Canis lupus familiaris: one gene and its partners. The protein of the gene in region 7 binds, or shares a complex with, the protein of the main gene of each other region. Links are inferred from orthologs where the notes say so. Each region holds a gene or a part of one and is shown on either strand. Other genes may lie near its edges.

Region 1 (3,969 bases), on a different chromosome or scaffold from region 7:
TCTTAAAACAAAACAGAAAACCAGGTTGGGTAATCATTCGGTTCCAGTTCTGGCTCTGCTCCTGGCTATTGTCCTTGGGCAGGTAACTGACCTCCCTAGCTCAAGTGTCCTTTTCTATAAAATAGGCATGCCCCTCACCTCAAAGCATGTTGACAATTAAATATAAGAATCCATCTGAAAGCACTTTATTCAGCATCTGGCACAGAGTAGGCAGGCACGACAGCACAGTCACTAGGAGCTTCAGTTATGAGGCAGGTGCTTTTCTGTACCTCAGTTCCCTAATCTGTACAACAAGGATTAGAGACAGTACCTTCTTCATAGGGTTATTAGAAAGATTTTGAGAGATGGTACAAGTAAATGATGCATCTTTCATAGCTATAAAATGTTACTGTTTTTGAAGAGCTTTTGCGTTCATTAATTCAAATGATCTTCACCTACTTCCACAAGAGGATGGGTGCATTTGATTGATTATGAACTAGATTCCAGACTGTACCATCTTTTAGGAACAGGAGGAGTGGACATCCATCTTACGAAAAGGAAATTGCATGAATAGTGCATATGGGGAATGAACAGAGATGAAAATAAGGAGATCAGGATTCTGGTTTCAACTATGCCAGTACCTTAGCCCACAGCTGCAGAGAAGTGCTTTATCAGAATGGGGTTCACTCCTCATCTGTAATGAAGTGGGCTGCATGAGGTTATCTATATAACATCTCTCCAAATAAAATTTGAACTCCTTACCATGGCCTACAGGAAGACCTACATTGTCTGTCATCTGCTTACATCTCCTATTCATCATCTACCATTCTCCTGCTCACTCACCATGTTCCAGCACCATCAATCCTCTCACTGATCTTCTAAAAGGCTGTACCAGCTTCTACCTCATAGCCTACATACGTGCTCTTCCCTCTGCCTTGATTCTTCTGCCCTTTTACATGATTGGCTCCTTCTCAACCTTCAGTCCTTTAGCATCCATTCCTCAGAGTCCTTCCCAGACCATATTACCCAAAGGTAATAGGTCCTGTCTCCTACTGCCAGGGGTTATTTTATTTTTTTTTTTAAGATTTTATTTATTTATTCACGAGGGACAGAGAGACAGAGGCATAGGCAAAGGGAGAAGAAGGTGCCTCACAGGCAGCCCGATGTGGGACGCAATCCCAGAACCCCGGGATCACGCCCTGAGCCAAAGACAGACACTCAACCACTGAGCCACCTAGGTGTCCCTCAGGGGTTATTTTCAATCATAGCACTATCTAATAAAAATATACTGAAAGCCACAAATGAGCCACATATACAGCCACATATAACTTTAAATTTTCTAGTAGTCATATTAAAAAAAAGTTTAAAAGAAAGTAACATTAACTTTAATAATATATTTTCTTTAAGCCAATATACCCCACATATCATTTCAACATGGAATTGATATAAAGATTATTAATATACGTTACATTAATTTATTTCACACTAAATCCTGGAAATCCAATGTGTATTTTACACATAGCTCTCAATTCCACACATAGCTCTCAATTCCAACTAGCCACATTTCAAGTAGCCACAGGTGCCAGTGGCTATCTCACAAAACAGCACAGTTACAGAGTATACTCTGCTTAGCCTTCAAGAGCCTATCACAATCTGAATTTACTTACACACTTATCATCTTCTAACTTTCTCACCAGACTACAAGCTCCACAGAAGCAAGAACCTTGTCTGTTTTGTTCAATATTGTATACTCAGAGGATTTTGAACAGTAGGCGTTCAATAAATGTTTTTTGAGCAAATGAATGAATCTCTTTTAGCTTCAATATTCTGAGTCAGTGGGCCTGCCATTCTACAACTCCCAAACAGATATGTAACCACTCATTCAACAACCTTATTTCCTTTCTTCTTTCATGTTCAATAACTGTCTTAAAAAGAGAAATCTCGGGCAGCCCCGGGGGCTCAGAGGTTTAGCACCTGCCTTCAGCCCAGGGTGTGATTCTGGCAACTCAGGATCGAGTCCCATGTCGGGCTCCCTGCATGGAGCCTGCTTCTCCCTCTGCCTGTGTCTATGCCTCTCTCTCTCTCTCTCTGTGTGTGTGTTTCTCATGAATAAATAAAATCTTAAAAAAAAAAAAAAAGAGAGAGAGATAAATCTCTTGGCTATATATCTCCCGTTGCTTATAAGTTCTTTTCTACGACGTCTCCAAGGTCTGTTCTTCATATACTGGCTGAGGGAGTGACATGAATATAATTGTTAGTGTTTGCTGAACTTTTACTCTTTGACAAGCATTGGCAGACCATTAAGAACTTCATGACAGACTTATGTGGCAGGTACCATCTTTGCCCCTAATTACACATGGGGAAACCAAGGCACAAAGAGTTAGTTAAGTAAGTATTCTGTGCAAGGTTACAGCAGCCAGTTAATAGCAAAAGAGACACTCCAAGGAACAAGCAGCCCCGGCCCCTAGTTCTTAACGACCTATTCTCTACTGCAGACCTGCCAATGGAAATACAAGACCGGTTATATATGCAATTTTAATAGCCACACTAAAAGGTAAGTAGCCACCTGAACAACGTGGACAGCGGGGCTCTACTGCCTCTCACGAGGGGCCCCTGTAGGAAGTCAAGGAGGGGGAAACCTTTGAACTGGGAGCCAGGAGACCTCAGCTCCAATCCCAGCTCTTACTTGTTGAGTGACTCTGGATAAGTCCTTTCTGCCCTCTGGGCCGCGGATTCCCGCCAAGTAGCCAGAGCAGGGAGGACGAGAAGATTCCACGCTAGAATTCCACGCATCTCCTAACAATGGCATGGGAACAGCTCTTACACTTTACAACCAGCTTTCACACCCGGTAGTTTGCAACGGAGGCCTCAGACAACCCAACGGGAGGGTTAGGACTGTCGCCGTCTTACAGATACAAAAACTGACGCTCAAAGAGGGGGAGATGACTCGTCCGAAGGGCACATGGCTAATTACTGGGGAAGCCGGGGTCAAAGGCGGGCAAGGCCAGTGCCCTCCCACCGCCGCCACCAACACAACGCCCGGGGGACCGGAAAGCCGACGAGATGGCTGCGAAGGTGGCCGGGGGCCTGCGGAAGAGTTGACGGGGACCAGGCCCCAACCCAGGGTAGGGCAAGAAGAGGCCCAGGCTGCAGCTGAGACGAAGGAGCCTGCGCTCTGAGAAGGAATGAACCAAAGGGCCCAGGAAAGTCTCAGGGGAGTGGAGTGAAACGAGGGGCTCGGACGCCGGAGCCTCAGGAGCGCGGGGGACGCGGCCGGGGACAGAGGCGACGCGGGGGGAGATGAAGGGGCTCTGGTCCCGCGACCGCAGAGCCCTGCCTGGGTGAGGGGATGGCTCCCGGCCTGCCTCGCCCCTCATACCTGGTAGCTCAGAAGTTCGCCCACATCCATGGTACCAGGCCCAGCCAACACCTGCTACTCAGCTTCCCTCCACTCACGGCCAAACCGCGGGCCCCTCCGCTGCGGCTCCGGCCACACTGCCGGAAAGCGCGGTGAGCGGGTCGCACGGCCAATGAGGTAAAAGTGAGAGGGCCACGGAAGCCGGCCACACTGCTGTAAAAGGCAACGCCACCGTAACGCGCGCTGCATTTGCGACGGTACTGCTTCCGCCCGGAGCCTGAAGGAGGCGGGGCGTGGGGGGAAGGGGGCGGAGACTTGGAGGAGGGCGGTAGGGTGAGAGGAAAGACCCAAAGGAGCCAGGATTTGTTGGGCGCCCCCTATGTGCAGGGCGGAGCAGCGAGAGTTTCACTTGTGCTCTCCAATTTTTTTTAAAGATTTTATTTATTTATTTATTTATTTATTTATTTATTTATTTATTTATTTATTTATTTATTTATTTATTTATTCATGAGAAACACAGAGAGAGGCAGAGACATAGGCAGAAGGAGAAGCAGGCTCCATATGGGGAGCCTGATGTAGGACTCGATCCCAGGACCCCAGGATCATGCCCTGAGCCACCCAGGCATCCCTAT
Region 2 (2,428 bases), on a different chromosome or scaffold from region 7:
CTAGACTTACTCATCTGTACCTAACTGCAGAACAGAACTATTTTAAAGTCATCTTTCTCCCACTAAAGAGTCCCTTCTATTTGCTGCCACAGTTGTTCATCCATTCATCAAACGTTTTTTGAGAATGCGAGCTCTACCAGGCCAAGTATCGCAAGTGTGGTTATCACAAAAAAGATGCCACAAAAGAAGCTATGATAAATGATGGCATCAAAAAAGTATACGCTACTTTCCCCCAAGTAGTTTGAATTCACACGAGGGAGTTCTCAGAAAAAAAAAAAAAAAAAAAGAACCCAAAGCGTAGGCTATAAGGCGATCATAATGAAGCGATGTACAGGAGACTTTACGTCTGTCTGGTGTGGCCAAAGCCGATTTCAAGGAGATGCTTTTGAGCTGACTTAAAGAGAGAAGTTGTTTGCCAAGGGAACAAAAGCATTCCAAGCGGAGGGAACATCTAGTACAAAGAACTGGAGAGGCGAGCGGCACGGAATGCTGAGACACACAGGCTGGGGTGCGTAGGGTGGGGCGAGCAGCTGGAGGCAGGACATCAAATGAAGCAGCTGGAGCGCCGGGGGGCGGGGGGGGGCGGGGGGGGCGGGGCTCGGTGTGGGAGCCCGAACGTGTCGGCGCCCGAACGTGTCGGCGCCCGTAGGGTCCTCGGGCACCGGGCGGGAAACGGCGGCCCCGCCAGCGCTGAAGGAAGACGCACAGCTGGGAGCCGCAGTCGCGTCGACCGATTCTCAGGGTGACCCACCCCGGGCCGTGACGGGGCCCACCACGCCGCCACATTCGCTCCGAAACCAAAGTTACACCGAGGTTACTCTCACGGCGGCCTGTGGCAGCTCCCCATTTCTTCGCAGCTCCCAGCCGCCCAGGGATGCTCCCCGCCTCCCCGACACGACGCTCCACCAGGCGCCGGCGGGCTCTTAAACCGCGACGACCGCCCAGGGAGGCGGGCGCGCACGAACCCTCGGCGACCGCAGCTCCCGGCATGCAACGCTCCGCGCTAGAGCAAGGGCCACTGAATGAACCATGATGCAACGCTCTACGGAGGGGGCGGAGCTCTCCATGGCGGGGGCGGGGGGTGGGCGGCCGACTGGTAGCGTCGCCTAGGCAACTCCAATTCCCTGACGGAATACACTTCCGCTTCCTCCTCTGAGCGCTAGGACCGCGAGTCCTCGCGGCTCCGTGGCTGTGACGTCATTCTCCTGCGACTGAGCCGGCCGGGAGGTGCCGTGTCGTGGGCTCTCTCCCGCGTGGAAGTCTAGAGCAGCTTCTCCTCTGCGGCGTCTGACCTGGGCGCGAAGGGAAAGCGGCGAGATGACTGACCGCTACACTATCCACAGCCAGCTGGAGCACCTGCAGTCCAAGTACATCGGCACGGGCCACGCCGACACCACCAAGTGGGAGTGGCTGGTAAACCAGCACCGCGACTCCTACTGCTCCTACATGGGCCACTTCGACCTTCTCAACTACTTCGCCATTGCGGAGAATGAGAGCAAAGCGCGAGTCCGCTTCAACTTGATGGAGAAGATGCTGCAGCCTTGCGGACCGCCAGCCGACAAGCCGGAGGAGAACTGACACCCCCGTCTCGTCACTGCCACGCGGGAGCGTGTCCCGAGTTCCTCCCGTTTGCCGTTTCTCCCGCGTGTTCCTGCCCCGAAGTGGACCGGTTCTCCATTGCTCCTGTTTCTCGCGCCTTCCTCGTGCACAAGTGCTTAGCTGAGGCCGTCCCGCCTGACCTGCTTTCCTGTGGACCCTTAGGAACAGCGTTGGGAGACTGTCAGGACCCGTGAGAACTGAGACGGTGGAGAGGTCCTAAACCAGCAAGAGAGGGGGGAAGGAACTGGGATCAGACGGGATTTGGAGGCTCTTTTTTGGCTAGTTGATTGTCGTTTCTTTTTCCATAAAGTCTAGAAGTTTTTCAATCACTTGGTGTGGACCACTTGCGTTTGAGTGGAAGGGGGTCCAAGGAGGGCTTTGGGGACTTTAGTTTCTTGGGAGACCGAAGAGGCGGGAGATGGATGGGTGGAGGAGTTGAGCACAGGGCCAGCGTTCATTGGCATACAGTTAAATCCGCCTTGCACGATCTTTATAATATTCCCCAACCCAGACTTCTCCCAAGAGCTTTTTTCAGGCCCATAATGCCTTCAGGACTGAGGATTAAGGTTTATGATCACTGTATCCCTCTTTCATGTTCTTGCATTCAGAAAAATCTTTACTAGCATTGCCCACTCCTCTATGTAAGTTGCATCGTCTCTTTCTCTTGGGATTCTGGACACATCCTGAAAAACGACAGGCTGTCAGACGAGTTCTTTCATTCATTCGGCATTCAACAAATACTTGTTGAGTCAGTTCTATGTGGTGGGCATTTTGCCTCGCTTTTGGAGCTTATGTTATACTTGGGGGGGCACACAAATTGTAGGCATAA
Region 3 (3,500 bases), on a different chromosome or scaffold from region 7:
ATGAAGAAAATCACTGATTCAATGAACATTTGATCATTTTATTAACAAAATATAAGCAAGAATTACATCCCTCTCTAATGAAACTTCTCAAATAATTTTATGTGGAGGGCCTTGAGATGTATCAATTATAAAACATGTTAAAATGAAAAAAAATTTTAAATGTACAAATACAAACCAGTACTTTATACAAGAATTCTCTATAAAGTTCGTTAATGTAAAAAATAATTTGTCTCAACTGAATATAAGGCATGTTCAGTTTCTGTAATTTTGTAGAATTATTTTTTTTGCTTTGTTGGAGATTTTTCTCTTCGCCGGTCCTGATGTTTCTTTGATTCTCTGGATTGTGTAGAGTATCTGCTAGATTTTTCCCATCGCCTCTCGGCACCATTTTGATACCTATCTTCATCACTTCTAGAGCCTGAATGTTTTCTAGTCTTTTCTCTTGACTTTGATCTATCTTTTCTTACAACATTTTCACTGTCCTTATTTCGCTGTCTGTGCTCATTTTCGGAAAAAGAATTTCTTCTCTCTCCTCTCTTTTTTTTGGGATCACCATGCTTATTTTCCAAATCTGTGTGCACTTCTTGGTCTCTGTCATTCACGATTCTACTGTAACTGTTTCGTTCAGAAGGAACACTTCTGTCTGAAGTGTATTTTGTTATGGGATTTCTCCAATTTGGATCCCGTGAATTTTTATCTTTATATTTTTCTGACCGTCTTTCTCTTTCAGTCCTTGTTTCCTGATGTCTTTGCTCTGGCCTTCTTTCTTCTTGTTTCCTATCGTGGGTTTGTTGTTTCCTGATCAATTTATCTACTTCTTTACTTCTGCTGTTCCCTTGTCCCTTCTTTCTTCTATCTTTAGCTGCATGTGTAAAATGAAATAGTTAGGTTTTATTTTAATCTTTAATTTCATAATTTAACAATTATAGTTACTGATCTATTGTAGGTTTATTAATTCAGATAAGCTGGATGCAAAACTAAACTGATTGAATGGAAAGTCTGATGTCAGAATATTGTACAAGATGAGTAATTTTTAAGAATATATATCATATCACCATTAGTTACCAAAGTACCATTTTGATCCTTAGACTCAAAGCTGTAAACAGAAACTTGACATAAACTATAGCAAATGTAAAATTTTTTATAAAGTGACTAACAGGTATATATTTCCACTTATAAATCTTATTCAAAAACTCCAGCCCATGTGCACTTTGTCATATGAAATATGTCAGATCTGGCATGTTAATAATAAAAAGACAGTGATTAGATATGCCAGCAACGTCACTCCCTAAAGGTGGGGGAGTAGGATGATGGAGTTTGTTTAACAGCATGAATATATATTTTTCAAGTAAAAGCCTCTTCCTAAAAAACAACAGCTCTGCTCTCCAGTGCTATCAGGGAGAAGTATCTGTACCAGAAAGAGAAGAAGCTTGTTAAGACATATAATCATGAGCTTTTATGAGAGCTATGAAGGCTTGATTTCTGAGAAAAACCGTTCTGAAATGGTCTAGAACAATTTTTACTGATATAATAAACAAATATAAATATTAAATAATCACGGAGAAATTTTAAGCTATAAAACAAATTTAATCACTTTATCTTTGTTATTTCTTTTGAGTACATAAATCAAGGTTGCTGAGACGACCGAAGTTTGTGTCAAATTCGTATATATACAGAAAGAAAAAAATACGGTAGAAAACTGCCTACCTTCGCCTTATCTCCACCCAAATCTCACTGTACCAACCTGTATTTCTCCTGCCAAATGCCTATCCTTGGCACAGTCCATTGGTTTGCCACTAAGGATTTATTTTTCTGGTTCCTCAGCTGAGCTGCAGCTACCCAAGCAGAAACCATCTGGCTGTGTGCTAAATCAATGTCTCTCTGACCCAACTCTACACCACTCTCAGGGCGTTGCTGACACAAAACCCTGAGCCCTACCATAATATGCAATCTCTCCAATCTTTGGTATTTGCTTTACAATTTTCTAATTTTGGGGCAGTTCATACTGCTCTTATGCTACTTAATATTTTACCAATAAAACTGAAAGCTCTATGCTAAAATGGGATGATGAGGCAAATTAATTTTGAATCAGCAAGATTCCTTATTGCAGCAATTCATGCTGTGTTATCATCTGTTCTCAAAACAGATATCATGAAATAACAAATTCTTTAGAATTAAAAGAGGTGAATATTAAATGAACAATGTTAATATATTTAATTCAAGAATAAGACTTCCTGTGGGCAAATGCAATCTTGTTCTAATAATATAAAACACTGAGAGTCCCACAATTCTGGCTGCCACACAGTATGTAATACTCTTTTAAGTGCAACAAGCCAGAGAACAAGAGTGTAAAGATCAACCTTCCAACATACTTTTCCTGCCTCTGGAATATGCATTAAAAAATAAGAAATGAGGGATCCCTGGGTGGCGCAGCGGTTTGGCGCCTGCCTTTGACCCAGGGCGCGATCCTGGAGACTCGGGATCGAATCCCACATCGGGCTCCCGGTGCATGGAGCCTGCTTCTCTCTCTGCCTCTCTCTCTCTCTCTCTCTGTGACTATCATAAATAAATAAAAATTTGTAAAAAAAAAAAAAAAAAAAAGAAATGATATGCATTTTAGACAATTAGACTATCTCTTATTTTTAGACTAAGATACTATGATGAAAAAAAACAGTTGACCCTGGGGAAAACAACAGACCATCTCAGAAAATTGCACATTTGAAAAAATCCTTTACTACTGTATTTCCATTTCCAGGGAGAAAGGAGAAAGCTGTGGAGACCACAGCCCCTGCTGAGAACAACTAGAAATGCCAGAGAAAGATTTAAAATTTTCTGCTTAAAGGCACTAAAGATCTTGAACAACTTGAGATGTTATGAAGAAAGGCAGTGCTCAAAAAAATGATAGGGGTATGTTGAAAGAACACAGGGGCCAATGTGAAGGAGTTCCTGATTGCCAAAGCTGAAATGACGTGAGCAACAAAATAAATGACAGTAATGGACTTTAACTCATTCACTCAGATGAATAGCCACTGAGTTCACACTGATAAAAGATACTTAATAAATAAATGGGGGTGGGAGGGGGAGACAACTCTTTCTTAAAGAAGAAATTCAGTTATTAAATGTAGAAGAAAAAAGACAAATGGAAAAATGACATTTGGCAAACACCATAGTAGTTAAGTACTGCAGATGAGATCCAAAGATGTATGCTAAAATTGAAGAGTGAAAGAGGAGAGAGAGGAAATTTAACAAAGTATCAAATTATTTCCCTACAAGATATTAATCTATAGAGAAAAGGAGTTTCCATGAAGAAATCCAGATGTCACCTTAACCAAGTGATCAAAGTTAATATCACCAATAAGACATACCGATATGAACTCCAAGATGCACTAAGAATACATCATTTCTATGGTACTCTGTACAAAAGTGCATAACTTCATTCCAACCATGTAAAAAAACATCAGACACATCTCCATATTTAGGGATATTCGAAAAAATATCTG
Region 4 (3,500 bases), on a different chromosome or scaffold from region 7:
TCCCCAGCTGTTTCACAAAGCAGGCTGGCTTGACAGGAAAACCGCACACCCTAAACACTCTTGCACTAGCTGGCCTTCCATGGTTTCTGAGATTTTTGCAAGGGATGTGAAAGCTCAGATCATATTTGTCCTGTTGCTCCATCTGTGATCTTCTAGGACCAGAACTTCACAGCCTCCTAAGATTTGAGAAACCACATACTGCTCAGCTGGCCTGATCCCACCAGCAGCCCATGCACAGATCCCTTCTCCTCCTAAACACATATTTATCCAAGCTCTGCTTGGCCAACACCAGCACTGGGAATGTACTATTCACAGACCAAGCTACTCCAAGACCTGGGCCAAAGGCCCAAGATGAGGGCCCCAGCACACAATCTCTACCTCAATTGAGGGCCTCAATCTCTACCACTCTCGCTTCTTAGTGTTGCACTGAAACCTCTTTCCCCTATAGCCACTCCCGTGGTTGCTAGTTGTGCTCGCTGCAGTCACGTGAAACAAGCTTGACCTCTTTTTCCACGGAGCAGCCCTTCCCATATTTAGAAGGAACCAGGATGTCTCCCTGAGTCTCTTCTCTCTAAGCTGGACATTCTAAGTTTCTTCAAAGGGTCTTCACGTGGCTTTTCAAGTCTCTAGAGCACCATTCTGCCATCCTGGTGTTTTTCTAAACACTGCAAGCAATGGGGGGTGGGGGGTCTATCTCTGCAGTCCCTCTACCCCATCTCCATGGTGCCTACAGGTCAGTCCTAGGACTGTCCACACCATCAAGCTTCAAGAACTGGTGGGCTTGGGCAGCCTGGGTGGCTCAGAGGTTTGGTGCCTGCCTTCAGCCCAGAGCATGATCCTAGAGACCTGGGATGGAGTCCCCCGTCAGGCTCCCTGCATGGAGCCTGCTTCTCCCTCTGCCTGTGTCTCTGCCTCTCTCTCTCTCTCTCTCTCTCTCTCTCTGTCTCTCATGAATAAATAAATAAAATCTTAAAAAAAAAAAAAAAAGAACCGGTGGGCTAATCAGAAGACAAAGGCCAAACTAGCTGGATGACAAGAAAGGAAAAATAGGCTAGAGATTAAAGAAGACACAGGAAGGTGCTGAAGGGTCAGAATGCAGCAGACTGGGCAGGAATGGTGGTGGCTCTCTGGTGGGAGGTGGTGACCCCATGTGTACCTGTAACTTGCAAGGTCAGGTTCAGAGAGGAACTCCCGGAGGAGCATCCCATCTGTCATGTAGCGGAGGACAGTTCGTTCTGATGTGCAGTCCTCAAAGCGGATGCTGTAGCCAACCTGTCAAGGGGACCATTAACGATCGAGATTGGGCTGGTACTCCTGGAAGGGAGTGCAGGGCTAGGGAATGAGGGGTCAGTGCCTGGACGTGTGGTGTGAAGCCCTATGCAGTGTGGGCTACGTCCCAGACCCTAGAGGCTCCCCTCCCTACCTAGGCCCCACAGATCTCACCTCATTCCCAAGCTTCACACCCATCTCCCGGGCCACTCGGGCAGCCACACTCATGGCTGCCACTCTCCGGGGCTGGGTACAGGCAATCTTCATTCCCTTTTTTGTGTATCCCTGAATGACAAGAGAAGAGGTTTTCCCTTTGCTAAATATATTCCTGAGGCCTAGGATAATTCAGAGAAAAAAGGTGTAAGTGCACGACAGGGCAGGGGGAGATGAAGGAACAGACAGAAACTGAAAACCCGACCCTCTGAGGGTCCCAGACTTTTGGGTGATCACATTCAGGCTCAGCTAGATCTGAGATGGAAAAGGACAGACCAACTAGGGCAGACCCAGAAGCAAGGGGGAGCCAGAGAAGGTGAAAAAGCAAGAAAATGAATCCTCTGACTCCTTGTTCTTTGTCCTTTGCAGAGGACCGATGGCTGAATGGGTTGGTATGGGAAGGTCCCAACCCCACCATCTACCTGTTTATGCATCTTTCCAACACGAATGCTGGCACTAGACACAGATACTGTGTTAGAAGTGAGAACAGAAACAGGAAACAAGTTTGCCCTTATTCTTAAACTCACAATTTAATGGAGAAGACTATGATTAAAGATGAAAAGGTAAGTGACTGCTCAAAACAACATGTGAAAAGAGCTCTGACAGGACTGTGCTTGTCAAGGGCCGGTGGCCGGTAACCTGGAGGGTGCGGATGACTGTACCTCCTCAAAGAGATACTGCGGGATCTGGGTGGTCTTCCCGGAGCCCGTCTCACCCTCGATGATGAGGACCTGATGATCAGCAATGGCAGCCAAGAGCTCCTCGCGGAATGGAAACACTGGGAGGCTGCGGCGGACAGCCTGCACGGACTCCTTCTGCTGGGCCTGGGATGGAGGCGATGGGCCTGATGGCTCCTGCAGAGGAGGAGGGGTGTGAGCTTCAGGGTCGGCTTCCCAACCTCGTTAGAACGTGCCACAGTTCTCCTGCTCACCTCGTTGCCCTGGAGCTGAGTGGCCCGGACAAACTCAATGGTCTCCTCTTCCTCCAGCACCAGCTGATACTTGGGCTCCTGGGAGGCAGCATCTCGGGCCCCAAACTTCAGAGATGCTGCCCCTAGCCGGGCCTCCTCCCAGCGTCGCTGCTCCTCCCCAGGGGCGCCTGATTCCTCCTCCACTAGATCCACAGCTCGTGATGGCTGTGGAGAGAAGGACATGTGAAGACAGAGGATGCCCTCTTCCCAGGTCTCTCCTCTCCAGTCACTATCCCTACCCACTAGGAAAGGCAAGACCAAGAAGGGGCCAGTGGAGGCCCTGTCCAAAGCCCTGAAGACTTCCCTCCACTCAGCTTGGAGAGCAGGGCTAAAGTGGACTCTGCTTTGCCTCACCTGGCCTCGGGTCTCCTCGGGCATGTGGTAACGATTGGTGGCCTCCAGCTTCTCCTGCTCCCCAGCCGCCCGGTACTCTCGGGCCAGATCCCGCACTCGCCGCTTGTATTTGAGCTCCCGCCGCTCATGTCGGCTCAGCTCTACATCCCCAAAAAGGAACTCCTCATCAGCCAGCTCAGCCTCTAGGTCCTCAAGCTTCTCTCGCTCCCGCTTAGCCAAGTACTCGCGGCGTGATTTCTTCCGCAGCTCGGGAACCTGGGTCAGGACAGGGTAGCCAAATCTTCATCTTGCTGGAACAGCAACCCCCTTCCTTACCTATCTGTAAGAGTGACAAATCCCCCAACAGGCCAGCAGTGTCCTTCTGCAATGTCCAACCTGACCTGCCCCAAACTGGGCCTCTCTGAAAGCCACACACTGACCCCCAACACTATCTTTCAGCAGCACAATCCAGCTTGAAGGCCCTTCTGGACAGCTTCGCCATCCTGGTCAATATAGATGCATTAGGGTTATTTGAATGTTTTAGGTTTTATTCTATTTTATTCGACTTAGTGGAAAGGAGGAAAACAGGGCAGCCTGAGAGGCTCAGCAGTTTAGCGCCGCCTTCAGCCCAGGGCCTGATCCTGGAGACCCAGGATCGAGTCCCATGTCGGGCTCCCTGCATGGAGCCTGCTTCTCCCTCTGCCTGTATCTCTGC
Region 5 (2,382 bases), on a different chromosome or scaffold from region 7:
ATAGTTTACCTTTTTTTACTTTACAGAATTGTATTGATTTTGAAGCCCTGGCATTCAGACACATCCTGACTTCTAGTTTTTGAATGTGAATTACTCAATACTTGTATTAAAATCAGAAGCAGATCCTGACTGCCTATCTTTACTTGCATTCTAAAGTTTTTATCTTTGCTTCACTTCATTTACCTATAATTACTGCAATGTGAGAATAAGAACAGTTTCTGTAATATTAAGTATGATCAAAATAACACCTATAAGTAATGATAAACTAATTTTACTTTTTAAGTTAGCCAACAAGGCTTAGATCTTAAGGCAAATCCTGTGAATAAGCCTTTCATAACCCCCTTTTCTCTTGCTTCCTCAACCACAGAAGTTGAAAACCTTAAAAAAAAAAGAAAAAAGAAAAAAGAAAAAAGAAAACCTAAACATTTATTTACCATGCCAGACCTCCCCAGTTAGGAACAGCCATGAGCCCAGTTCTAGCTAGTAAGATGTAACCAGAATCACTGGAAAAGTTGTTTTCTTTTATTAAGGAATATATTTGGCTGGCATGTATTTTGTCCATGATAAACTAATTTTAAAAGATGAAATTTTATTAAATAAGTAGGTTGAATGATATTACAAAGAGGAATGCATTAGAAAATTCCTGCAGTACAACCTCTTCAAGAATTAAAATGACAGGCTAAAAATAATAAATAGTCCCTCAGGAAACATAATTTGCTGCTGGCAATCTATATTCTTCTTCTTTGTTTTAATGGACGACTTGAATGCACATCTTCCAGCTTGTCTTCTGGAGGTTTTGGCACAGATGAAATTACCTAGTTTAAAAAAAGAGAACCACCAACATTTATTCCTTATAGCACAGGAATAAATAAACTAATAGAAGAGGTAGGATCTACATCTAGTAGTTCAAATCTTGCCATCACATTGGAGGCAGAGTGAGTCCAATTTCAGGGTATAGCCTACAGAGCAAAGTTTTCTGTCCAAACACTGATGGGAGTAAAATTTCTAAAGCCATTTAACAAGAAAAAAAATTTGAAGGGAGAAAAATAAATATGTACTCTTCTATAATAATCCTTTATTATTAGCATCTGTAGTAAGTTGTGTTTAAGCATTTCTCATTTTTGTTGTTCTGCTGTTTCCTTTTTAGGAATTGAACCTAACAACTTTTTTTCTTGAAAATACAGTCTGCTCTGGCTGAGAGCGCTATGCATCTCTATCTATGCCTCAGCTCAGCTGTATTTGAAGGAAGGGGGCCAGCACAAACTAAAAATTTTAAAAAGAGGCTTAAGCATGGAAACTGCGTTTATAGATTTTTGTTATTATAAAATAGGAGCTCATCCTTAATGAGATAGTAATTTTCAGGTAAAAAAAAAAATACACATAAACTAAGCCACCTCAGACTCCCTTAATCACTCTGTAAAATATACATACAATTACACAAAAAGCACTCTCTGAACCTCAGATTAAAGTTTAAGAGAATGGTCTTTCTTCCTCAGCTTGATTTCTACGAGGTTTGCCCCATAAAAAAGGTATCTTTCAAAAGCTAATTCAAATGTTAGCTTTCTTTTATTGGTGCTTGGAAAATGTAAAATGATTACATAAATAATATGTAAAGAAATTACTACTTAAGTAGTACAATCGAGCTGTATTCTATTTAAGGAGCTGACATTTTGAAATGCAGACCGTAGTGGCTAGTCTTTAGAAATCTCATCTTTTTCTATGGCTATCTTTATCAAAGAAGAAAAAAGCATTTTAATTTAATGTAATTTTGTAATAACTTTAAAGAAATAAGTTGTAGTAATTTTCCTTCAACACAACAGTTCTGTACTTTGGCTCATAATAGAACCAACCAGGGAGCTTTAAAAAGGGAGGGCCTGGGCTCAATTCTCACAGACCAACCTCACTGACTGAAACCACTGCTTTTATAGTTTAGAGCTAGAATGATATGAAATACATTGTTTAAAGCAAGGATTAATGACATCAAAGCACATACATTTCTGTTAAGTCAAATTCAGTTAATTCAACAGAACTGTAGAAAAACACATAAAAAAAAAACTGAAAATGAAAAAAATTAATGACAATACTTTAGCTGCCACAAATCTCGATTTAGCTGTTAGTCCTATGACCAGATGGTCTCTTAAAATAGTTTTTTAAAAATGATCTTACCTCTTGAAGTTTATTCCGAATTAAATTTGCTGTGGTATTCAATGAGTCGTCATGCATGTCCACTTTAGGTATGTCTGGTAACAGAGGCCCAATCATAACCTCATTACTACTTGTGCTTGTTTCAAGAAAAGTTCCAATTTTACGATCATCTTCTCTTCTTCTTTTCCGCTCCTGCAGTTGTGTTGTCCTAGGCATAAATCTCTCAACTGCCTCTGA
Region 6 (4,128 bases), on a different chromosome or scaffold from region 7:
ATTTTGGCTCAGATCATGATCTTGGGGTCCTGGGATTGAGGCCCACCTGCTTGAGATTATCTCTCCCTCTGCCCTTCCCCCTGCTCATGCACATGTGCTCTCTCTCAAATAAATCTTAAGACAAAAACCTTTACGTAAACTGAAACAAGAACTGCCAGATATCCCCAGATCATCCTGTTCCTTCTGCTAAGGAAGCACAAAGAGATGGAACTGGAGTCAACTCTAATCTAATCACTTAAGAAAGTGTTACCAATCTTAAAGCAAACAATACTTTATATTGTTTACGCCAACATTTTAAAGCAAGCAAACAAAAAATATTAATCAGCTCCAATTAGCCATGAAAGAAAAACCATTGTCAACATAATTTCATGATGACAAATATCTGGGGGCAGTGTTGGTACCTCTTGTTGGACGGTCTCTGTTTTTTTCTCTTGCAGCAGCTCTCTCTCTCTCTTCCAGCTCCCTCCTGAAGTCACGGTTGCGAACCTCTTCAGGGGCATCCTGAGTAGTTTGTCTAAAGCAGAAACAATTTGGTGAAAATATTACTAAAAAGATACATGGCTGTAGCAGGGGAAGACAGTTCGCAAAAAGCCACTTTGTCCTCAAGTTCAAGGAACTAAATGAGATCATTACCCTAATCTGAAGGTCACTAACAGGCATTCTTGTAATGTTTCCAACGTTTCAGAAAGCCCAAACTGAGTCACATATTTTCCCATAAGGCTGGGGAGTAATTAAAATGTCTTTACTTTTTGTTAGTACATCAATTCAGGGCTCATTAGTCTGACACTTTTCACCTCACACTGAGTAGTGCTGATAGTGGATGGGCCCTGAGGTCACTGCTATTGAGCCATCTACATACGGAAATTCCCAATTAATAGGGATTTCTGCATAAGTAGTACATGGTAGTGTTTTAATAATCAGAGCACAGTTTTAATGTTAAACACTCTATTGCATTCTATCCCTATGAAAATAGGTTAGTGATATACCCCAAACACGCTAGAATCTCATGAGCATGCCATTTAACAGATTTAGTCTTGTCTTCTGAACAAGAAAATAAAAAGTCTTCATTACCTATATTTTATCTTTGTATGAGAAGGTAGGTCTCTACTTGAATACTGCTTTGAGAGTTGGCTCAAATCACCTTCTCCTTTTCCTCTCCCACCTCTTGCAGGTTCAAAAGTTGGCCTAGCTGCTGTTGTCATCTTTTATGCTTTAAAGAAAAACTGTATCAAGTTATTTCCAATATGATATATTCTCATTTCATAAGATATTAATAATATTCATCCTTGTGAAATAATTTCCAGAATTCATTCTCCAAAATTAATAATCTCAAACAAAAGTTCTCAAGAAAACACATAATGAAGCTCAGGGTATATAAGGAATATAGCTTCTTAGGCAACTCTTATTTAGGGCAAAAAATTCTCTCATGAAGATGGGAGTTGGTGTTCCTGTTCTCCTTCTGTATCTGGGGCCCTGGGCAAGTCATCCAGCTCCAAGTTCTGAGGAATGGGCAATGTCCCCCACAGGGTTATTATTAGAATTGAAATGTCAAAAAAAAAAAAAAAAAAGGAATTGAAATGTCAAAGCCTTGCAAAATTTAGTACTGCCAACACTGAGTTTTAAAAATTCTCAGCTTTATGGGCAGCCCAGGTGGCTCAGTGGTTTAGTGCCGCCTTCCGCCCAGGGCCTGATCCATGGAGCCTGCTTCTCCCTCTGCCTGTCTGCCTCTGTGTCTCTCTCTCTCTGTCATGAATAAATAAATAAAATCTTAAAAAAAAAATTCTCAGCTTAACCCTAGTCCACCAGATGCCCTAAGGTTTGCACTTAACCTCATACAACAGAAAACAGGCTACTAACTACAAAACCAGGTTGTTTTAAAATCACCGACAAGGTTACGGAGTGTCCTGGAGTAAAGTAGGCTAAACTTTAAGGACAGTTACACGGGCAGGATTCTCCAACAACCTTTTGTCGGTCCAACTTTCTTCTATAGCAACGATTAGAATACAAAGCAGATTTTTGTAGGTGACGATGCTCATGAAAGGAAAGTCACCACCAAAGGATTCCGATAAACAAAACTCGGGGACCCCTTCCGTTACTTCTGGCTTGGGGCTGCCAAGAGGGGTGCCTAGCAGACGTGGCTACTCAAGTCCCGTCGAGCGTCCGAAAAGCCAGGTGCGGGGAACCGGGGTGGGGGAGGCGGGCACTGAGTGTACGTCCCTCGATTTTTTAAAAAGGGAAAAGGGATCTGCGCCGAGAGAGCCCGGGTTTCCTGCCGCTGGGGGCGCCGCCGCCGCCCGCACACTCCCGGATTTCGGTCACTCCCGCCTCCCGGGGGCTGGCCTTCGGGCTGTTACCAGAGGCTCGCTGGCTCTTCACCCCGAGGCCCGACTCGCAGGGGGTTCGGGGGAGGAAGGGGTGTGGACCCCGCTACCGCCGCCCGCCTACTGCCTTCACGCTGCGCGCTCCGCGGCCGCCGCCCGCCCCCGCCCCCGCCCCCGCCGCGGCCCCTGCGCCCACGCCCGGCCCGCTACCGCCGACTCCGGCCGCTGCCGGCCTTCCCCGCCCCACCCGCGCGGGACGGACAACCTGCTACCCTCCCGCGGCACACGTCGACCAAGGTCTAACGCGACAGCCTCCGCAAGTCACACAGACACCATGACGACTCTCACCTCCCAGCAGCCTCCGCGCCCAGGACCGGGCCCGAGCCCCACGACCCGGAAGCAAACCCCGGCTCTTCAGCCGCACTTCCGAGGCCGAGGCGGAGACCAATCGGCAGCAGGCGGGGTGGAGGTCGGCGTGATGACGGCGGGGGGCGGGGCCGAAACGGCCCAGGGGGCGGGCGTTTGAAATCCGTGCTTTCGAGTAGACCCGAAACATCGTTTTATACCTTCAAGAGCCAATTACTTAATGTCTCTCGCGTCCTTCCCTTCCCCGACCCCCTCCCAGCCTCCTTCGTTCCGCCGCTGCGTGGACGGAAAGCCCCGGGTAGCGGACCGCGAGTCCCCGGCTAGCGGGAGGGAGCGTAGAGAAGGATTACACCCAAGTGTTTAAAGCCAACGGCTCCGGCTTCCTCTCTCCTGAGCTAGACCCAGCCAGCCTAGAGTGGGCTGCGGAAAAACTAGTGTTTTCATTTAATTGGATATGAAGAAAGAACAAATATGTACGGGGGCAACCACGATCTTTATAAAGGTACCATTCCTGCAAAAATACTAGTCTTCAAGGCAAAGGTTGTATTCGTATTGTTTGTTAACATTTCCATTTTTTTTTAAAAAAGCCTGAGTTCTAGCGGGAGGGGAGATGTCACTATTAGAGATTCACTTATTAGCCCGATGATGAGCGTTTGGAACGCTGGGCCCAACTGCCAGGAGCGCGAGATGCAGTTCCTGGAAGATGGCTACTCGGGCGTTGGGGGAACTTTTAATGAGACAACGAACGCCAGTCGTCCGTTCTCCCTTTTCCAAAAAGCACTGGGAGCAGGGAGCTCGTTTGTTTAGTCCATCTTGGTATCTCATCACATGGTCTTTGGCCACAGTAGATGCTCAATAAATATTAGACAGATGAAAATTCAGCATCTCCAACTTGGTGTCAAATATAAACAGCTCATAAAATCGAGCATTAAAAAGCTTTATTTCCAGAACTCTTCCTTTGAAACCTGTAAATTCTTTTAAAAAGTAGAAGCAGCCCCTTCCTTTCTGAAGGTCAAGATAAAAAATTTTTCTCTTAGGGATGGTGTTTCTCCCCTAGTTTTGTACGTCTCAGTAAAGGACACTGCCAGGTACCACTTATTAAACCAAAACCTCAAGGCTCCTGATTAAATCCCTTTTACTTGACTCCTCACATATAGTTTATTTCCAAGACTTGTCCATTTTACTTTTAAAGTATGATACCCAAAATTTCATTCCCCTGCCACTACCCTAGTTCAAGCCACTGGGATTTTTCACCTGCATTATAATTGCTCCCTAATGGACCTTCCTGCTTCCACTCTGGCCCTACATACGGTTAATTTTGCAGATAGCAGTGAGAGTGATCTTTGAAAGTTATGGATCAGGTAGTGTTACTCTTCTGCCTAAAAACCCCACTGCACTTAGAATAAAGGTCAAATTCTTTAATGTGACCTGAGAACCCAAG
Region 7 (4,028 bases):
GGTTCCCAAGTACATATTGCACCATTATAGAATTTCTTTATGAGGCCCACCACCAGTGGCTACTGCTGCAGAAACTCAGTAGGCCAAACTCACTCAAATTCAAACACGATTGTATTTTCAAGTAGAAACATGACCTTAATGTTTTTGATTAATTAAGAATCAATGTACATCCAATGAGATTAGCAATTCACATTGATATACTTTTGATAGGATTTTATTTATTTATTCATGAGAGACACAGAGAGAGAGGCAGAGAAACAGGCAGAGGGAGAAGCAGGCTCCATCCCTGCAGGGAGCCCGATGATCAGGGACCCCAGGGTCACATCCTGGGTCCTGGGCCGAAGCAGATGCTCCCCCACTGAGCCCCCCAGGTGTCCCTCAATAAGACTTCTTCCCTCTCCAAGCCCATGCGGTATGCTGAGATCAGTGGAATTGATTAGCTTAAGGAACAAGCAGGGCCAGTGAAATATTTGCCTATCGGATTTACAAATGTTCAACTCCTGTTTGCATAGAAAAGTAATGGGACAGGCTTGATCGAAAACTGCATTTTACCTAAGACAAGACAATATAAAATACTGCTATTTTGGCACTAGGATGTGTATAAATAAAAGTGGCTCGAGTCTTCAGTTGTGTCTTTCTTCCGCCAGCTTTGAAAAGCTGCCCTTTGATACTGTCGACGCCACCACGTTCATTAGCAGACTGGCTGAAAATCGTGCGGTTTTGAGAGATTTAAAAAAAAAAAAATCTATGCAGCGTAAAAATAAATGTGGGGATTTGCCGTACAGGGCTACAACAAAGATCTTTGCACACTTTCTCAAATGCAAAGTGTTCCGCAACATCCGGCCGCCAAGGGTTAACGGGACAGCATCAGCGCAGGTGCTCTCGGCAGCCGAGGCCGCAGCGCGCGGAGGCTTCCAGGCCGGGCAGCCCCGCGGCGCAGCGGGAGCCGAGACGTCAATCAGGGGAGCTGGACGCGGACCGGGATTCGCTCTCTCCAGACCCTCCCTAGAACGGACTCCTTGGGTTCGCTGGGAAAAAAAATAAAATTAAAGGATTAAGCTTGGGGAGGCACAGCGCAAACAACCACACCCCTGAACCGAACTACTTAAGTCCGAGCCGAAGGCTCTTCCAAGACCTCCTCCGGGACGCCGCTGAGCCCCGCCCACCTCGCCGAGGCCACGCCCCTCTGGAGAAAGCCCCGCCCCTCGATCCCAGAAGGCCGCCGGGCGGCTACCGCGCCTGCGCGGAGGCCCCACTTCCGGCGCCAGGGCGCTCGATTCCGGAAGGGCTGCGCGGCGGCGGCGGCGGCGGCGGCTTCTGTGTTGCGGGCTGGTGTCCCTTGTCTGTTGGAGCGGCGAGTCGCACGGCAGCATCATGGTCGAGGTAAGGTGGCGCTTGGTGCTGAGGGGTCGTTGGCTTCCGCGGTGTTTTTCCTTGGCGGCGGGCGTGGGGGGGTGTTCGCGGTTTGGGGATGGTGAAGGCTGCGGAGGGGGGCTGTCTGGCCGAGGCCGGGTGGTCTCTGAAGGTTTTCAGGGGCAGAGGAAGGCCGGGTGGGAGCCCTGGCTGGACGTTACCCGCGGCCGCGAAGCCCGACTGAGTTTCCACGGTCCGTATTTGGCTCTTGAGCGTCGGGTCTCGGCCGGGCCCCCGGAGGCGCCGCGTCCGGCCCCGCGGGGTCCCCGCCTGCAGAGCAGCGTCAGGGGCTGTGTGTCCTGAGGCGGGCGGTCTTCCTCCAGCTCTGCCCCCAGGAAGACCTGCCATTTTGAAGTTTTGCATCAAACTGTTAGCCAGCCTTGCCCGTCTCATCTCAGAAATACTTCTGGAGCCTTGTCCAGACCCACTGCCTTCGCCTTAATTCAGATCCGGCGTCATCCTTCGTCTGCACGAGTGCCTTAGCTCCCTGCTGGTGTTCTCGCTTCCATTTCTTCGCCCTCTGCAAAATTGATCTGTTTAAGATATACGTTGATCGCGTTTTTTTCTGCTTAAAATCCTTCGCTGGCCAGATGTCACTAGAGCAAAAGTGCAGACTGTTGCAGTGATCCTTTAAAAAAAAAGAATCCTTAACCTAATCTGCACCTTGTCTACCCTTGCAACCTCATCCCAGCCTCACAGTCCACCTTCCAGTGGAACATGCACAGTTCTCTTGCAGCTCCGGCCATCATTGCAGCCACCAAACCCCTGTGTACCTGGCATTTCCTCTCTGCCTGGATTGTTCTCACCTCTGCTCTGCACGAGGCTGAATTTCTGCCTAAGGAATACCTCAGAGAGATCTTTCATAACTATCCTAGGTTCTTTCTTGGCTTGCTTCCTTCATAGCACTTATCAAAGATTTGTTGCTTATTTTTCGTTTTCTCTTGAGCACTGGGACCATGGCTGCCTTGTCATCATTCTTTTGTTAGCTTCTAGCACAGTGCCTGCCAGACACATAGTAGGAACTCAGTAAATACTTGTTCGAATCAATGGCTAAGCTCAGGCATCACTAATTGGTATACCTGGGGCTCTGGCCATTGAGGAGCTTCCTCCTCCTCTCTGACCTTGACTTCTTCTATCGCTTGCTACAAATAGCTGTGGTGAGTGGTACAAAGCTTTTTACATATTTAAATGTGTAAAGTGTATGGCTGCTTTGACTTAATTTAGGTTGTGGTATGTGTCATTTGTAGCTAGATATGTGATTCTGTTCTTTCTTTTTAGGAGGTACAGAAACATTCTGTGCACACACTTGTGTTCAGGTCATTGAAGAGAACCCATGACATGTTTGTAGCTGATAACGGAAAACCTGTGCCTTTGGATGAAGAGAGGTAGGTATTGTTCCTTTTCAGTTACTGGAATATGTAACTTCTAATGTTGGGGGAAGAGAGCAGGGAGAGGGGGACCTTTAAAGCTTAGTGAGTGATACTAACACTCGTAGGATGTCTATTCGGTAATGAATGGTGTTTGGGCATGATTTAAGCTGATTTAACTTTTTTTGGCCTTGTCTTTCACAATAAAAAGTCCCATTAATTAATTGCATTTATAAATACCCAGTAATTAGGAGAGTCCCTTTTAGGTGTTTTATTTTATAATCAATCACTTTGTATGTGCTTTCAGCTTCCCGCTGCTCTCAGAGCCTTGCTGAGCTGAAATTGTACCTGGCCAGTACCTCTACTCCCATCTTTTCTCGTTAGTATGATGAAGATTTTTGAGTGGTGGCATATTTTTGGTTCTACATCTCCAGCTCCAGTCTGGGATTGCATTATGTGCAGTGTTCCTTCTTTGTCCTTTACCCTTCTTTTAAAATCTACTTAATTCCTAAGACAAGCATTTATATTTAATTTATTAAGTGAGCTGTTCTTAAGACTAATATAAGTGCATTTCTTTAAAAAATATTGAACTAATTAACTACTTTGATTAGTTCTAATTGGTCTTTTTAGATACATCCAGTAAAGGTTATGATAGAAGCTTTTACTGTGTTTTTATATTGACACATTTGAAGGAAAGTGTATTGACTGAGGTTTTTAAAAGGATATATTAGTTTCTATATGTTTTTAAATCAGACCCTTGGTAATTTATCATGAAAGGTTATATATTTATTGGTTAACAAATTAAAATGCTACTTAGACTTAATGGATGCTCTGTGGTGGATTGGGAACAAAAAAAGTGTGGAAATGCACTTGGAAATTCCAAGCTTTTTAAAATACTATTTAACTTTAAAAACTTCATAGAATTTTTTCTACATGATTAGGCAAACCTAAGCTATTTAAGTACTTGTGTTCTTGGCTGTCTATATTTCTTTTGGCTAATATATTTAAAGCACTCAAAGATACATTCTTATGTTCATAATTTTTAAATAGTCACAAACGGAAAATGGCAATCAAGCTGCGTAATGAGTATGGTCCTGTGTTGCACATGCCTACTTCGAAAGAAAATTTTAAAGAGAAATGTCCTCAGAATGCATCGGATTCGTATGGTCATAAGCAGTATCCTGCCAATCAAGGTGAGGATGTATTATCAGAAATGTCAGGACTTACATGTGAATTTTCAAAATGAAA

What was found.
Region 1: PLRG1 (region 7) and CTNNBL1 share a complex: the UniProt entries of both Homo sapiens proteins name them as parts of the PRP19-CDC5L splicing complex. The link is inferred for Canis lupus familiaris from reciprocal best matches to the Homo sapiens genes PLRG1 and CTNNBL1.
Region 2: PLRG1 (region 7) and SF3B5 share a complex: the UniProt entries of both Homo sapiens proteins name them as parts of the minor spliceosome. The link is inferred for Canis lupus familiaris from reciprocal best matches to the Homo sapiens genes PLRG1 and SF3B5.
Region 3: PLRG1 (region 7) and CWC22 share a complex: the UniProt entries of both Homo sapiens proteins name them as parts of the minor spliceosome. The link is inferred for Canis lupus familiaris from reciprocal best matches to the Homo sapiens genes PLRG1 and CWC22.
Region 4: PLRG1 (region 7) and DHX16 share a complex: the UniProt entries of both Homo sapiens proteins name them as parts of the minor spliceosome. The link is inferred for Canis lupus familiaris from reciprocal best matches to the Homo sapiens genes PLRG1 and DHX16.
Region 5: PLRG1 (region 7) and RBM48 share a complex: the UniProt entries of both Homo sapiens proteins name them as parts of the minor spliceosome. The link is inferred for Canis lupus familiaris from reciprocal best matches to the Homo sapiens genes PLRG1 and RBM48.
Region 6: PLRG1 (region 7) and CWC15 share a complex: the UniProt entries of both Homo sapiens proteins name them as parts of the PRP19-CDC5L splicing complex. The link is inferred for Canis lupus familiaris from reciprocal best matches to the Homo sapiens genes PLRG1 and CWC15.

What each region holds. Positions count from the first base shown.
Region 1 is NC_049245.1:26,820,126-26,824,094, reverse strand, and holds the start of CTNNBL1 (beta-catenin-like protein 1), read right to left. Parts: upstream 2,801-3,969; 5' UTR 2,789-2,800; coding exon 2,666-2,788; exon of another isoform or gene 2,546-2,665; intron 1-2,545. UniProt on the Homo sapiens protein: Component of the PRP19-CDC5L complex that forms an integral part of the spliceosome and is required for activating pre-mRNA splicing.
Region 2 is NC_049222.1:35,794,967-35,797,394, reverse strand, and holds SF3B5 (splicing factor 3B subunit 5), read left to right. Parts: upstream 1-1,183; 5' UTR 1,184-1,317; coding exon 1,318-1,578; 3' UTR 1,579-1,928; downstream 1,929-2,428. UniProt on the Homo sapiens protein: Component of the 17S U2 SnRNP complex of the spliceosome, a large ribonucleoprotein complex that removes introns from transcribed pre-mRNAs.
Region 3 is NC_049257.1:23,697,426-23,700,925, forward strand, and holds part of CWC22 (pre-mRNA-splicing factor CWC22 homolog), read right to left. Parts: intron 863-3,500; coding exon 276-862; 3' UTR 1-275. UniProt on the Homo sapiens protein: Required for pre-mRNA splicing as component of the spliceosome. As a component of the minor spliceosome, involved in the splicing of U12-type introns in pre-mRNAs. Promotes exon-junction complex (EJC) assembly.
Region 4 is NC_049233.1:606,622-610,121, forward strand, and holds part of DHX16 (pre-mRNA-splicing factor ATP-dependent RNA helicase DHX16), read right to left. Parts: intron 3,062-3,500; coding exon 2,807-3,061; intron 2,618-2,806; coding exon 2,414-2,617; intron 2,337-2,413; coding exon 2,145-2,336; intron 1,605-2,144; coding exon of another isoform or gene 1,555-1,604; coding exon 1,444-1,554; intron 1,273-1,443; coding exon 1,157-1,272; intron 1-1,156. UniProt on the Homo sapiens protein: Required for pre-mRNA splicing as a component of the spliceosome. Contributes to pre-mRNA splicing after spliceosome formation and prior to the first transesterification reaction.
Region 5 is NC_049235.1:18,074,932-18,077,313, reverse strand, and holds the end of RBM48 (RNA-binding protein 48), read right to left. Parts: coding exon 2,167-2,382; intron 816-2,166; coding exon 729-815; 3' UTR 501-728; downstream 1-500. UniProt on the Homo sapiens protein: As a component of the minor spliceosome, involved in the splicing of U12-type introns in pre-mRNAs.
Region 6 is NC_049242.1:6,115,128-6,119,255, reverse strand, and holds the start of CWC15 (spliceosome-associated protein CWC15 homolog), read right to left. Parts: upstream 2,801-4,128; 5' UTR 2,670-2,800; exon of another isoform or gene 2,587-2,669; intron 2,472-2,586; exon of another isoform or gene 2,355-2,471; intron 1,224-2,354; exon of another isoform or gene 1,211-1,223; 5' UTR 1,203-1,210; coding exon 1,072-1,202; intron 515-1,071; coding exon 402-514; intron 1-401. UniProt on the Homo sapiens protein: Involved in pre-mRNA splicing as component of the spliceosome. Component of the PRP19-CDC5L complex that forms an integral part of the spliceosome and is required for activating pre-mRNA splicing.
Region 7 is NC_049236.1:52,571,453-52,575,480, reverse strand, and holds the start of PLRG1 (pleiotropic regulator 1), read left to right. Parts: upstream 1-1,228; 5' UTR 1,229-1,374; coding exon 1,375-1,383; intron 1,384-2,691; coding exon 2,692-2,798; intron 2,799-3,087; exon of another isoform or gene 3,088-3,159; intron 3,160-3,830; coding exon 3,831-3,973; intron 3,974-4,028. UniProt on the Homo sapiens protein: Involved in pre-mRNA splicing as component of the spliceosome. Component of the PRP19-CDC5L complex that forms an integral part of the spliceosome and is required for activating pre-mRNA splicing.